Linked DNA regions of Elephas maximus indicus. The protein of the gene in region 1 binds, or shares a complex with, the protein of each later gene. Links are inferred from orthologs where the notes say so. Each region holds a gene or a part of one and is shown on either strand. Other genes may lie near its edges.

Region 1 (7,582 bases):
TTTGTACTTGTTAAATATTACTATGTAATATGTCTTAGGCTGGGTTCTCTGGAGAAGCAAAACCAGTAAAGCATATATATAGCAAGAGAGAAAGATTTACATCAAGGAAACAGCTCACATGACTATTGTAGAGGCTGGAATGTCCCAAGTTTGTGGATTAGGATAGAGGCTTTTCCTGATTCACATAGCCACAGGGGCTGGCGAACCCAAGATTAGCAGGTGGGAGAGCAGGACTCCTGCTCATAGGCTATGAGGATCTGCAAATGCCAAGATCAGCAAATAAGCTGCTACCTCAAGTCCCAAGAGCTGGAGGCAGCTGCAGGATCCAGAGAGGGCAAAAGCCAGAACGTCCACTTATATTTGGACGCAGGCTACATGCCCAAGGAAACTCCCTTTCAGCTGACTGGCTACTCACAGCAGATCCCATTATGGGGTGACCACATATAAACACTGAGAATCATGGCCCAGCCAAGTTGACACACAATCTTAACCACGACAGTCCACCCCTTGTCAACTTGGCACCTGTACACGTCTCCACAAACCATACATATTCTCTGAATAAAGACAATTACAAAGTTATACTTGTGCCTAACGTGATACAACTAACACGCATACAACTGAAAATGCACTAGCCCTGTTTACATCTTATATTTTATAATTGAAGAAAACAAAAATATTTGATGCACACATACAATGGAGAAATACTCATAACAATTACAATCCTTGTTTCTGCAACCGGTTATATGGCCATAACTGGTATTTAGAACTACCTTCTTCACCACCCATTCCATATTCCCTTTGCCCTCAGCAAGCACGTCAGCTGGTCATGGTTTTTTGCCTGGTGGGGTGACCCAAACCTTCATTCCGGAAGGGTCTGGGCCATTAGTAGTCATGTCAGAATTGGGTTGCTGTAGTTTTCCATTGACTTTAATCACAGGGCATGATAGTACTGAGACACCCTAAGGAATCTCCTGCATTCCAGACATACTCTTCTTTACCTCCATTATGTGATATTGATACATTTTCTTCTCAGTAATCAGGATAATCACTTGATTGGGAGGAAGGGTAAGCAGAGGATATGCGTATCCACAGGATACCAGTGGCATAGCTTTCAGCACCACAGCAACACAAGAGCCCCCCCACCGTATGAAAAACTGACAGACACATGGGGGTTAAATATATAAAACCAAGAAAAACCAAACCCACTGCCATTGAGTCGGTTTCGACTCATAGCCACCCCATAGGGTTTCCGAGGCTGTAAATCTCTACGGAAGCAGACTGCCACATGTGTCTCCTGCAGAGCCGCTGGTGGTTTCAAACCGCTGACCTTATCTTCACAATCCTTTGAATGGTAGAGACATCAGATATAACCATTTACAAATAAATGATAACCAAGTTATTGAATGCTTTGTGTTAGGAATCTTGCTAAGCACTTTATGTATATTACTATTTGATCCTCAGCACCACCTAACCAGGTAAATACTTATTACCAGTATTTTATTGATGTGGAAATTGAGGCATGGAGAGGTTAAGCAACTTGCCTGAGGTAACAAAGTTGAGAAGGGAAGAAACTAAAACAGGTCAGGCTACTGGTGAAAGTCTTCAGTAATTTTCTCAGAGTTCAAGTCATAGGTTCTACTTATTCTGCTCCTCTGTTTATCACTGTCATAGGTTATTCCTTATTCCTCAAAATACTTTTCACCTGGGGTTTTCATGACATTTTCTACTTTTGCTTTTCTGCAGTCTCCTTACACCCTTATTCCACAAACATGCTGAGTATGTAAAAACCTAACAGTTCCTATTTCACTAAAAAATGTTTTGCTACTTAAAGCATGAGACAAAAACCTAACTTATCTGTTTCCTAAAGTAAATTCACAATTTACTTATGCAGAGAAATTTTTGCTTCCTCTAAAAAGGCATATATTCTATATAGGCATGTATTTGAGACATAAAGAAATGTCAATTTTCCTTTTTTAAAAAGATTTATTTTTAATGTCCTCTCAAATTTCTGGTGCCTAGCACAGAACTTAAGCAACTTTTTAAAAATTAGCTTTTAATATATTAGTCATTTTAAGTGAGTCACTGCCTAAAAGAATTTACTTGGGAGTCAAAGAATGGTAAACTTAACATCTCAGAAATAAAACCCAATCCATTTGCTCATCCATTCAGCCTACTATGAATCTCTGCTGAAACTTGGAGAAAATAAAAAACACTGAAATTAAACTGGTCACTGGAAACTCTTCCCAGTGTACTAGTTACAAGTAGTCCCGACTTACCACAGGGTTCTGTTCCCAGGACTCCAGGGTAAGTCAGTCCTGACATAAGTCGAATACCTCATTTTCTTTTTAGTTTTCAATATTATTGCCTTTTATTATTAGTATCTTTATAAATCTGATCTTTGTCTTTGGGGATTGGAAACATTACAGATAAATTTACAGATATAGTATCAACAGATTAAGTGCTGCAACACTGTGTGTAGTAAACGCTAACCCAAAAAACCAAACCCAGTGCGGTGGAGTCGATTCCGACTCATAGCGACCCTATAGGCCAGGGTAGAACTGCCCCATAGTTTCCAAGGAGCACCTGGCGAATTCAAACTGCCGATCCTTTGGTTAGCAGCCGTAGCACTTAACCACTATGCCACCAGGGTTTCCGTAGTACATGTTAAAAAAAATATTACCAACCATAAAATGTACAAAAGAAAGGGGCGGGGGTACAGTGGTTAAGCCTAGTTTGTCTTAACTGCAATAGCCTTAAATCGGGAACTACCTGTATTATCCAAACGCCAGTTGTGACTTCAGGTGAAACGTATTTGTAGAACAGTCTATCCACTGTACTCATCACATAGAAGACAAGGTGCTGGTAGGGACAGGAATCATATCGTGCATCTGCTGCTGAGAAATCTAGTACTCTACTGAACAGTAAAGAGGCTGTGCTAGCTCATCAGGCTCTTTTGCCACCTGTACCCAGGGCAGGGCCCTAGTAGCTGTTCAGTAAAGATGCTACGAAAAATGCGTTATGCTGAAAATAAAGATATGTTCAGAAATCAAGAGGCCAACACGGAGATGAAGAATCAAGAGGCCAGGGTAGTAGGAAGAGTTCCCGGTTCTCACTGCTATGTTACTTTTGCAAGTGGTTTTTGCAGGTCATTCCAGGACTATTCTTTTAACAAATTTGAAGGTAGTGGGGACAGAGACATTTGGTTATAAACTCGTTATCTCTTTGAACTTCCTTAAATTGTCTTGGCAGAGGCCCTACCGTTTTAGGTTGGCACGCTTGTGAGGCACCTGCAATTTCCGCCACTGGTCACCCTTCCTTCCCCCAGTCTTCTGGGCTCCTGGTTCCCGCTCACCTTGCCTGCGGCCAGCTTCTACCATCAGCCGGGTCAACAGGGGACTCTGGGAACTACTACAACCCTCAATACTTGCTTTCAGTAGAATAAAAGGTAATGATTTTCGTTTTAAATCACTGCAGTATGAGGTCTTCAAGTAAAAGCTTTATTGGGATAGAAAAATCTAACCTGTGAGAAACGAACCAGTGTGTTCAAAACTCTGCTTCTTTGCCGCCTTCATTTTAAGGCTTTCGGGATCGCCTCAAGCCCCCCATCTAAGACTGTCTTTTCCCCTCGGGAACTGTAGGCTTTTTGGAAGCCGCAGCGTCTCTTTCCAGGCCTCACCTCCCTCTAGCTCCGCCCGGCCCACCTCACCCCCACGTCGGCGCCCACCCATTGTCCCCTCGCGGCTGTCTTTGCGCGCGGATCCGGGGCTCCCGATTGGAAAACTTCCCCGTCACTCAGCCCACACTCGGGGGCCGGACACCTCAGTCTTTCCCTAGCCTTAAAAGGGCTAAGGCCGTTTTTTTCCCCGAGCCAGCAGGTAAACCCGCGAGGCGGAAGGGAGGGGCCGCGCGCCCAGGTCGGCCTCGCCTAGCGCTGGGGAACGGCCAGGAGTGGAGGTGGGGGAGGGAGCTCGCAACGCCCCCTCTCCCTGACCACCTGGCCGCGCCCTGCCCCACCATCCCGATCATAATGCCAGAGCTGCGGAGCCACTCTCGTAATTCAGTCCCGGGACAGCCAGGAGCAGTTACCACCGCGAAGCACGGGGGGCGGGGCGGGCAGGCAGGCAGCGGGAGACGGGTGGGGGGGAAACGTGAAAGGTCCCGGATGTTGCTGAACCGGAGCCCTTTCTGGAAGGAGTGACTGGCGCAGGCGCAGGAGGACCGAACGAATAGCTAAGGTGGGGGTGGGGAGAGATTTCCTTCCCTCTAGTTGAGAGGTTTTTTTTTTTGAATTGAGAGGAAAAGTGAGCCGGAGGTTGAAGGGAGATAAAGAGAGTGTCGGGGATCCGAGGTGAAAGCGAGGTAGGGGGTAGTGTTGGAAAAAAAAAAAGTTTCCTGCCCCGGACAAGAGTGGAGAAGTTGGAAGCTGAGCGGAGTGGGGAGGAGTGTGGGTAGAGGGAGAAGACGCACGCTCCTCCTCGCTCGCCCTCTAGCGCGGGCGGGCAGGGAGCGCGCGCTAGGGAGCGGCGGTTGCGCTGGGCCCCCAGAGCTGTAGGCACCAATCAACGGTTGCCATAGCAGCGTTTGACGTCATCGTACGTGTGGTGCCCCTGCTGCCGGGGCCGGTGATTGGAGGAAACCCCGTGTCTGCGGAGCGCTGTAGCCTGTGAGCAGCGAGATCCAGGGACAGAGTCTCAGCCTTGCCGCTGCCGCCGCCCAGAGACTGCTGAGCCCCCGTCCGTCCGCCGCCACCCACTCCGGACACAGGTAAGGGGCCCGACTGCCGCTGCCTCGCTCCATTCTTTTTTGTCGCAGACCAGCCTTCCGAAAACGTGGGAGCTTTCCCTGCTCCACATCTCCTCACCCCGGCTTGCCCCGCCGTAGCGGCGCTGAGGCGGAGTCTCCTCAGGCGGAGACGGGCGGCGGCTTCTCTTCCGCTGGTCTCGGGCAGGCGGTTCGCGGCTGCCTCCGGCTGCTTGCTTCCGGATCAGTTACTCGGCCCGGATAAGCGCTGGTTCTCCCTCGTTCCCAGTCTGTGGGGGTAGAAAACGCGCCCACACGCGAGATCCCCGGGGATTCACCCGGCCGCCGGGTCCTCGGGTGAGCGACTTATCGCCGAGGCACCCGGGCCCCATCCGTCCCCTGCCCTCGCCCCCGTGACCCCTCAGCCCCCCTCCTTCGGTGCCCCATTCCTCGCTTCCGCCCGAGGTGGCTGCGGGCATTGCAGTGGCGCAGGTGAGGCCGCCCCCTCCCCGCTCCCCGCTTGCCGCCCGCCGCCCGCGCTCCCCTCCCCCTTCCTCTCCCTCCCTCCCTCCCTTCTCCTCGGCGCAGCCTCCGCGCTCCGCGCTGCTGCGGCGGGGCCGGCCCTCCCCCACCCCGGGCGGCGGCGGCGCGGCGGGGAGCGGCCGGGGGCGCAGCGGGGAGGGAGAGGGGCCCTGCCCGGAGCTGTCAGCCAGCTAGGCCTGGGGGAGGTGGCGCTTCGGGGGCCGTGGGTGAGCAGAGCACGGGAAGGAAGGTTTGGGGTGGGGCTCGCCTGGGACCTGGAGCTGAATTTCCTGGGTTCAGCGGTGGGAGGAGGGACTTCAGTGTACCCGGTTTGGGTGGGGGATGAAGGTGGCCTTTTTTTCCTACATGTGAATGGGCGGCGGAGGCGCTGAGGGGGACCGGGAGATCAGGTCGGGAGGGGATGGGGAAGACAGTGGGTCGGTGTCTCGATCTGCCACCGGGTGGACTAGAACTGGAGAGGCCTTGCCTTCGGTTTTGGACAGATATCCTGCTTTCTGCGGCGGGTGTGCCCGAGCTTAACAGCCGGTGGTGGGCCAGCTCTGCTGGGTGTGGCTCTCCCCCTCCCCCACCTGCTGCAGCTGTCGGGACCTCAGACTCTCTAAATGGGCACCAGCGGTATCCGGTGGCGGAAGAGATGCCGGGTGGGAGAGTGGGGTGTGTCCGCGGCCAGACTGGTAGTGGTTCCGCTTCTGCGGGCGGCGCTGGCGTCCCGGCCCCCGGGCGGGCGGGCGGTCCCCCCAGCACGGGGCGGGGCGCCGGCTGCTCCTCCCTCTTGCTCGGAGGGCGCGGTGGGGGGGGGTGGTTAACACTCTGCGGTAGGTTGGGCTCCTTGACACAGATCCGCCATGACAAAGAGGGAGAGTCGGGGACTTGTGCGAAGGCACAAGCTTGGGTGGGGCCAAGGAGAGTGGGCTGCGGATAGCCTGGATGGAAGGATTTACAGTTCAAAATCACTCTCTGCCGTTTTCTATTACCAAACACGACATCCAAAGTCGGTTAAGGGTTAAATGGGTGCGGCGAGTCCTCCGCAATATAGAGGCGAGGCCTTTTTGAGCACTATGCTGTGAGAAGTCTAATCCGCTTCCCCTTGTACTGGAGAGTTGGGAAGAAAAACCTTTGTACTGGTTTTAAATGATTTTGGGGGAGGAACAGCATTAGCCGATGAGTGTTTCTGAGTTCCTAGGAGAGAAAATAATTTCGAGAACTGATGGGAGGATTACTCGATCACAATATTTAAGTAGTTTACACACTGAGACAGTATATCACATATCCACGCTACCTGATTACTTGTTTAAATACCGGGGACCTATGAGTCAGAATCGACTCTACAGCAGTGGGCTTGGTTTTGGTTGGTTTATTGTGATTTGTGGGGGAAATAGTTGCGGGATTTCCCTGGGAAGGTAAAGGATATCATATTGGAGGTTTAGGTCCCATGGGGAAACCCTGGTGGTGTAGTAAAGTGCTACGGCTGCGAACTAAAGGGTCAGCAGTTCAAATCCACCAGGCGCTTCTTGGAAACTATGGGGCAGTTCTGCTCTGTCCTGTAGGGTCGTTATGTGTCGGAATCGACTCGTCCGCACTGGGTTTGGTTTGGTTTTTTTTTTAGTTCCCATGGTGACAGTGGCTCTAATGTTCACCTTTTAGTAGTGCTCCTTAGGCTATAAGTTTTTCCTTAAAATTGTTTATCCTGTGGGATCATTGCATGGTTTAGTATCTTTATGTGCTTTTAGCCCCTTTCAAAAAGATGTCATTAAGGAAAAGTGTAGAGGAGGTAAAATGAAAAGTCTAGGGAGCTCTACAATGAGGGAAAGACATGTGAAGTCATGGAAAAGGGCAGCTTGAGTGGTAACATTCAATTAAATCGTGACTGCTAGAAACTGGAATAGTTTCATGTTTAAACTGGGACAGTGACATTGGAAACACTTGGAGATATTAAGTGCTTCCAATGTGGAATTTTAGTGCTCCTGGGTGAGTAAGAGTTGAAGTTCTAGGACTCCACTATGGGTATGTTTATTATATAAATATGTGTGTATAAACAAGGTATGGGTGCATGAGGCCTTAGGGTCCGTTAGGTATTGATTCTTGGTTATGTTTTACATTCAAAATATCTTAGAACTAGCGATTTGGTCATTTGTCCCATAAAATTGTCATGCTCTGATCAGCTGGCAAATGTTGGAAAGATCCAGTAGAATTGGGGTGGGAATGATATCAACTAAAATTTAAGATTAAATGCTCCCGATAAGAACCCGCTGTTACGAGAGTAAAATGAGCTGAATTACATTAATTTAACATGAATCAT
Region 2 (7,396 bases), on another chromosome or scaffold:
ACGGGAAGTGGGCGCCACGGCTAAGAGAACCGCCAGCTGGGTATTTTGAAAATCTTTTCTACTTGCAACAACAATCAAACGGATAAACACAATGTAGTCCATCCATACAATGAAATATTACTCAGCCATAAAAAGGAATGAAGCCCTGACACATGCTACAACACAGAAGAACCTAGAAGACATCATGTTGAACGCAAGAAGCCAGTCACAAAACACCACATACTGTGTGTTTCCATTTATATGAAAAGCCCAGAACAGAAAAATCCAGAGACAAAAAGTGGATTCGTGGTTGCCTGAGGCTGAGAGGAGGGAAAGTGGGGAGTGGCTGCTAATGGGGACGGGATCTCTTGCTGGATGTTAAGGAATTAGGCAGTGGTGATGGCCGCACAAGTCTGAGTACACTAAACACTACTAAGTTGTAGACTTTAAATGGGTGGATTGTATGGTATGTGAAATATACTTCGATAAACCTGTTATTTAAAAAACAATCTTTTCTAAAACAATAATCTATCTTCAATTCCAAGGCAGAAATCTGACCTCATCCCTGACCACAGCCATGTAGTGTGACCTCTTGTCACGCTACAAATATTAGGCACCTACTGCATGCCAGCAGGGCAGATAAGATGAAGCCACCACCCCTGCCTTCGAAGCCCTGTCTTTCAGGGGACATTTATGCTGCACACTTTCACTCATTCATGCATGCACTCATTCACCAACCACCTCCTCCTCTACATCCTGATCACACGCATGAGGCGCTTGAGCCAAATCGATGTGCCGTGTCCACCAAGCAGCAGTTGCAGATAGGTGATGAACAAATGCATAAAAATGAAGACACGTATCCAAGTATATAAGGTCACTACCCAGTGAAAAACAGCAACCTATTATAAAACCACATAGACAGAAAGTTCCACCAAGGAGCTGGAGCTGCACATAGGGTCGGTCCACCCCGACTGTATCTGCTCGGACCCAGGGAGGTGGTCTCAGCAAGTTCCCCCAACCCCTCCCTGAGGCCTCTTGCGCAGGCCAGGGGTCCCACCGTTCTGCAGGAGTTGTGGCTGAGGTCACTGCCATCCGGGCAAAGCAGTTTACCTCCTTGGCCCACAACTAACAAAGGCGGAAACTGAGGCAAGAGGAGCTTGGGAACCTCACTGTGGTTGTGTGGGCAAAGAGCAGCAGCCCAGGACAATAGCAAGGCGCCCAACCCCAGCCCAGCCCCTGGCAGAACCTGGGATGCCCCTTCAGGCTGTCCCTCCGCCCTGGTCCTACCTGACCCTGTCCCAGTGGGGGAAACATCACCTGGCCCTACTACATGGGATGCATGAAGGGTGGCTATCCCCACTTTAAGCTCCAGGACTGACCACAACCTGCCTTCCCAACCCCCAGGTCACCATGGGGGAGAGCACCTGACCCTTCTCTCAGGTGTCTGAGAGAGATACCTATCCCACCCAGGTCCCCAAGAGAGGCATCTGTCGCTCCTCCAGCACCCAGGAGTACAGGTAACAGTGATGTAAGGGCACCTGTCTCCCTCACATAACAATGATTTGGGGAACTTGTCCCCTCTCCAAAGCAATGGGAGAAAGATGTGGCAGTCTGGTTCTGTGAAGATTTACAGCTTTGGAAACCCTATGGGACATTTCTACTCTGTCATGTAAGGTCACTATGAGCCAGAATTGACTCAACGGCAGTGGGTTTCTTCAGTTTGGTCCCCCCAGGTAACAATCATATGGGGACAATGTTCTCCTCAGATAGCAATGATGTGGGAGCACCTGTCCCCACATGTAATGATGTGGGGGTATCTGTCCCTATCCCAAGTAACAATAATTTGGGAGCACCTGTCACCTTCAGGTAGCAGTTACGTGCAGGCACCTGCCTCTCTCAGGTAGCAATGATATACAGGCACCTGTTCCCCCCCTCGAGTAACAATGATTTTGGGGTGCCTGTCCTGCCAAGAGAAACCCTGATGGTGTAGTGGTTGAGTGCTACCGCTGCTAACCAAAAGGTCAGCAGTTCAAATCCACAAGGTGCTCCTTGGAAACTCTATTGGGCAGTTCTACTCTGTCCTAAGGGGGCGCTATGAGTCGGAATCGACTTGATGGCAGCAGGTTTGATTTTTTTTTTCCATCCCACCAAGGTAACAAAGATGTGGGAGAAACGTCCCCCTCAGGTAGCAATGATGTGGGAGCACCTGTCCCCTCCAGGTAGGAATGATGCAGAGACATCTGTCCCCTCCAGCTAACAACAATGTAGAGACCTCTGTTCCCCCAGATAACAATGATGTAAAGGCCCCATCCCCTCCAGGTAGCAACGATGAAGAGGCACCTGCCCTCTCCAGGAAGCAATGCAGGCTGGGGGCACCTGTCCCCTGCAGGTAACAATGATGCGAGGACACCTGTTCCCTCCAGGTACTAATGATCTAGGTACACCTGTCCCCTCCAGATAGCAATGAGATGTGGGCACCTGAGCACCTGTCCTCTCCAAGTAACAATTATGGAGAGGGCACTATTCCCTCCAGGTAGCAATGATGTGGTGTCTCCTGTCCCCTCCAGGTAGCAACGATATGGGTACACCTGTCCCCTCCAGGTAGTAATGATGCAGGAGCACCTGTCCCCTCCAGGTAGCAATGATGTAGAGGTCCCTGTCCCCTCCAGGTAGAAAGGATGTGGGGCACCTGTCCCTTCCAGGTATCAATGATGCGGGGCCCCTGTCCCGCCCACGACGTCCGGAGGGTGGGGACACCTGTCCCCAGGCCACGCACACTCCGCCTCCGCCCCGCCCCCCGCGCCCCCCGCCCCTAGCCGCCCGGCCAGCGCCCCCGCCCCTAGCCGCCCCCTCCCGGCCAGTGCTGGGCCGCGGCAGCCCCTTACCCGCGCGGCCCGCGTCAGGCTCAGATCCTTCATGACCTCCTCGAAGGCCGCCGTCTCCTCCGCCTGCTTCTGGTTGTGCAGCGCGATCTTCTCGCTGAATTTCCGTGGATTGTTCGAAGTCGCCATCTTCTCGCCGCCACCTCCTCCTCCTCCTCCTCCTCCTCCTCCTCCTCCTCCTCCACTCCTCCTCCTCCTTGCCCCCCACTCGCCCGAGCCACCGCGCAAGCGCTGGCCGGGCCCGCGGGCGGAGGGCAGTGCGCAGACGCGCCGGCGGCCGGGAGCGTGGCGCAGGCGCACGGGAACGGCGCGCGGCGTGGAGGCGAGGACGCATGCGCGCGTACCGGAGGCTCTCTCAGGCGAAGCAGCGGCGCGGAGGGCTGGCGGGGGGCGGAGGTGGAGGAGCGAATAAGATTTTTGCGCAAGCGCGGTGAGCCACCGCCTGGCTCGCTGGACAGCGGCCACCTGGCCGTTCATTGGACGAGGTCCGGATGGGCTGGGGCGCTGGAGCCCCCAAGAGTGAGACAGCCGGCCGGGACCCTTTGCAAGGGGGAGCCAGGCACCCCCCAAGGGCCGGACTTGGACCCCTAGCTTTGAGACTAGAGCATTCATTCATTCAACGAGTATTTGTTGAGTGTCTACTACAAACTGGCAAACCAAGGTACAGAAATGAACAAGCAGATGCGGTCCCCGCCCCCATGGGGTGCAGAGTTCGTGGAGGTTGGACGCACACAACCCATAAGCAGCACCAAGAACATTTCAGATGGCGATGGTGTAATGTGGAAAATAAAAACCATGATGGGCTGGAGCGAGGTGGAGGGAGGGAGGGAGGGGTGCTCCCTCAGCCACCATGGTCAGGGGAGGGGGCACATTTGAGCTGAGGCCTGACCCTTGCAAGCAGAGTCCAGCCCATAAACCCGAGAGTTGTCTTCCACACCTTTCTTTCCCTATTCCCTGACATTTGACTGGTTCTCTTTATCCCCCCAGATCCTTAAACCCAAAACCCATTGCTGTCCAGTTGATCCCAACTCTTGGCTACCCCATCTGTTACAGAGTAGAACTGCTCCATAGGGTTTTCTTGGCTGTAATCTTTACGAAGCATATCACCAGGCCTTTCTTCCACGGCTTGTAGTGGGTGGGTTCAAATCGCCAACGTTTCAGTTAGTAGTCGACCACAAACTGTTTATGCCACCCAGGGACCTAAAGAATAGAAATTACAGCACTTGAGGCTCTTCTGTGTGAATTTTGCCAGTCCTGTCCTGTTCGGAGACCCCAGCTTTACTTAGGGTGCTAAAGGAAAGTCCAGAAATCCCAGTTAAAAAGGGGAAGTAGGGTCTCCCCATTGTGAGGGTGCTTTGACATCGATCTATCGCCCCAAGCAGGACTGTGATTGCCAATATCAGAAGGTTTATATTGAAGTGCCAGAACTGGGGGTGAGGGGTGGGGGAAAGGGCAGCCTGAAGCAGGGAGGGCAGTGCAGCGGGAAATTTGGGGCAGCTGTCATCACACAGCAAGCACACTTTTTACTAAACCAAGGGGTGGCTGGAGGGAGCACTGAGGGAGATCAAAGGGGACCCCATCATTTTCCAAAGATGCTTTCTTTGGCTTTACAGCAGTTTAATCAAATGTCAATTGTCCATGCTAAAATACATACACACATATATTTAGAATGTTTTGGGCACCACCACTGCCCTGATTTTTTCTTGTTTATATTGTTTTGAGCACTTTTGCAAACTTGTCTTTTTTGCCTAACAAGCATCTGCTCAAGATGGCATTTTGATGTCACCACCCAGCTGTCCTCCAGAGAACGGTTTCCAACTTTCAGCCCATGACATGTGGATGGGGCTGGCCTCACTTCCCTCTCTCCCCACAAACACCTCACCCCAAAGTGGAAGCCTTGGGCAGTCAGCAGACCCCATTTCTCTGGCCACCACATTTGGTTCAGGGTGGGCATGTGACCCAGTTTGTCCAATGAGATGCAATCCTGGGATTTTTGCTGGAGCCATGGGAAGGAGAAACTCCTTTGTGTGGGCTACTGGTTTAAGGATAACACAGGTCTGCAGTGACAGAGGTTGCCAAATGGAAGAAACTGGCCCAAGAGAGGGAACTCACACAGGAAAACAGAAAGGTAGAGAGACATATCTTCTGAGTGCCTGGATCCAGCTACACCTGAGGCCAGCATCATATCTTTTCAGTTATATGATCCAATAATTTATTCCTTCTTTCGCCTGAGTCTATTTGAATTCCATTTTCTGCCCCTGGCACTGATTAAGACCAAAGCTCCAAGGGATCAGGGCTGGGCACTCTGCATATATGCCTTCCAGTTCTTTCCACCATCCTGTGAGGTCAGGAAATAGAAAGCAAGAAAGGCAGCTGGCCATAGCAAGGCAAGCCCTGGAGCCAAGACTGGAACTCAGGCCTATCTCATGGCAGAGCTCAGCTTCCTTCTCTGAGCTGTTTTTTTTAAGGTTTAAATGCAGTTAATGTGTGTCAGGTATCCCCGGGTAGTGCAAACGGTGAATGCACTTGCTGCTAACCGAAAGGTTGGAGGTTCAAGTCCACCCAGAGGTGCCATGGAAGAAAGAGCTGGCAGTCTACTTCCGAAAAATTAGCCACTGAAAACCCCGTGGAGCACAGTTCTGCTCTGACACACATGGGGTCGCCATGAGTCAGGACTGACTTGACGGCAACTGTTTTGTTTTTCAATGTATATCAAGTGCCTGGCTCAGAGTAAGTGCTTGACAATGCTGGTTACCCTGATCACTCACAGATTAAGCTGCTTCCCAGGCACAGAGAGATTGAGGAAAAAAGATTTGGAGGGAGAAGGAGGTGGTGTCAGGGCACAGTAAGGTGCTGGGAGGCGGCACACCTGTTTGGGCAGAAGTAAGGGGCCAGGCCAGCTCAACTCACCCCGCTCACCCCACACCCGGTGGTAACTCAATCTGTCCTAAGCCCCTGTGATGAGTCAGAGGAAGTGGCCAGCCTTGCTTATTGCACAATGGCCTGAATGTGGCCCAAGCCCTCCTCCCCACTCCACTGACCCCAAGGAAGCAGCGGCTGGCAACTCAGGAAGAACCCAGCCCCATCGTGCTCACTGTCTTCCTCCATCTCAGAAAGCTGCTGCAGCCAGAGTGCTGGCCTGGGGATGGGGAGGGCTTCAGGGCTGCTCCCTGCAGCAGACCAGGGGTCTCTGTAAACCAGGATGGATACCATACTTCCCACTGAATTTAGTAAAACATTCTCTCCCCTCCTGGCAGCTCATGCAGCCTGTGGCCCCCATTCCGGCTGTCCCACCTCAGGACCTTTGCATGTGCTGTTCCTGTGTTTGGCCTGCTCTCCCCTCAGATCCTCTGGTATCTGGCACCTTCTCATCTTTCAGGCCCTTCCTCCACTGAGACCCTCCCCGAGGTCCCTGTCTGAAGTGGCTCCCCTGTGTTTGTGTGTCCTATAACCCAGGAACGCCCTGCTCTCTGAAGGAAGCTGTTTCCAGGATCCTGTCTGTTCCCCGCTAGTGACCTGAGGTCAGGAGTAGAAAGTATGTTTGCTCGGCCAGGATCTTCCCTTCAAGAGCTTCCTGTGTGATGGGGAAAGGACACAGATACATAAAGTCCCCTTCTCTTAAGGCTTGTTCTCCATACCAAGAGCTTTGGGCACTTTAAAATCCACCCCCCTTTTTTTTAAACTCCTTTGTATACTTCTCTGAGTTTATTCTGTTTCCTTGGGTCCCCAGAGCCAACACAAGACTAGGCACAGAGGGGGCATCTGGAAGTATTTGTTGACTGAACTCATTTTCTGCCTGAGAAACTCCTACTCATCCCTCAAAGCCCACCTCAAATATTCCCTCCTCCAGAAAGCTTTTCCTGACCTCCAAGCAGAGTTTCATTCCTTACTCTTGGCTCACACAGCCCTGGGTTCCTCTCCTGCCAGCCCTGACCCCATAGGGCTGGGAGTGTCTGATTGTTGAATAGCTTCACTTCAGTCACACAGCACACATCCAAGCCTATAGGATCGTTTTCTCTCCTCTGCCTCACAGCTCCAACTGGCCCTTTTCCTCCTTGCTGGCTTCACCTCCTCGCCTTCCCTTTCTCATATCCTCCACCCAGCCTTGCTGGGCCCTGCTTCAGAGCCTTTGCACAGGTTGAAATGTCCTTTCCCCTGTATCCAGGCCATGGTACTCTTTGACTTGAAACCTCTAAATGCAATCTACCCTCCCTGTTAAATATGGACACTGGCTCTGCTCATAGCAGGCCCTTAGGAAGATTAAACAGATAATGTGGGCAAAGCACTTAGCACATTGCCCACTTCTTAAAAGCATTCGGTAACTGTTAGAGAAGCAAACGTCGCAATGCTAATTTTCATGCTTTGCTTTTCTGCGCTTCCTTATATGGGATCTTCGTCAATCCAGAGGTGAGTTAGGGCCATCGGAGCAGGAAAGCACAGAGGAATGCTGACAGGGTTCATCTCTGATGGCCAAGCCAGGCCCTCATCAGACACTTTGCAAGAGCTGGGTTTAAAGATGCAGTGAAAGGCGAGAG

The links.
Region 2: the proteins of YWHAZ (region 1) and CRTC1 are in contact, whole or in part, in a crystal structure (PDB 7D8P), measured with the Homo sapiens proteins. The link is inferred for Elephas maximus indicus from reciprocal best matches to the Homo sapiens genes YWHAZ and CRTC1. Residues at the interface, in NP_001129171.1 of Homo sapiens: Asn42, Val46, Lys49, Arg56, Arg60, Lys120, Arg127, Tyr128, Glu131, Gly169, Leu172, Asn173, Val176, Tyr179, Glu180, Leu216, Ile217, Leu220, Asn224, Leu227, Trp228; in NP_056136.2 of Homo sapiens: Arg147, Arg148, Thr149, Asn150, Ser151, Asp152, Ser153, Ala154, Leu155, His156.

What each region holds. Positions count from the first base shown.
Region 1 is NC_064833.1:41,043,954-41,051,535, forward strand, and holds the start of YWHAZ (14-3-3 protein zeta/delta), read left to right. Parts: upstream 1-4,580; 5' UTR 4,581-4,764; intron 4,765-4,823; exon of another isoform or gene 4,824-5,097; intron 5,098-7,582.
Region 2 is NC_064821.1:38,589,900-38,597,295, reverse strand, and holds the start of CRTC1 (CREB-regulated transcription coactivator 1), read right to left. Parts: upstream 3,003-7,396; 5' UTR 2,991-3,002; coding exon 2,865-2,990; intron 1-2,864. UniProt on the Homo sapiens protein: Transcriptional coactivator for CREB1 which activates transcription through both consensus and variant cAMP response element (CRE) sites.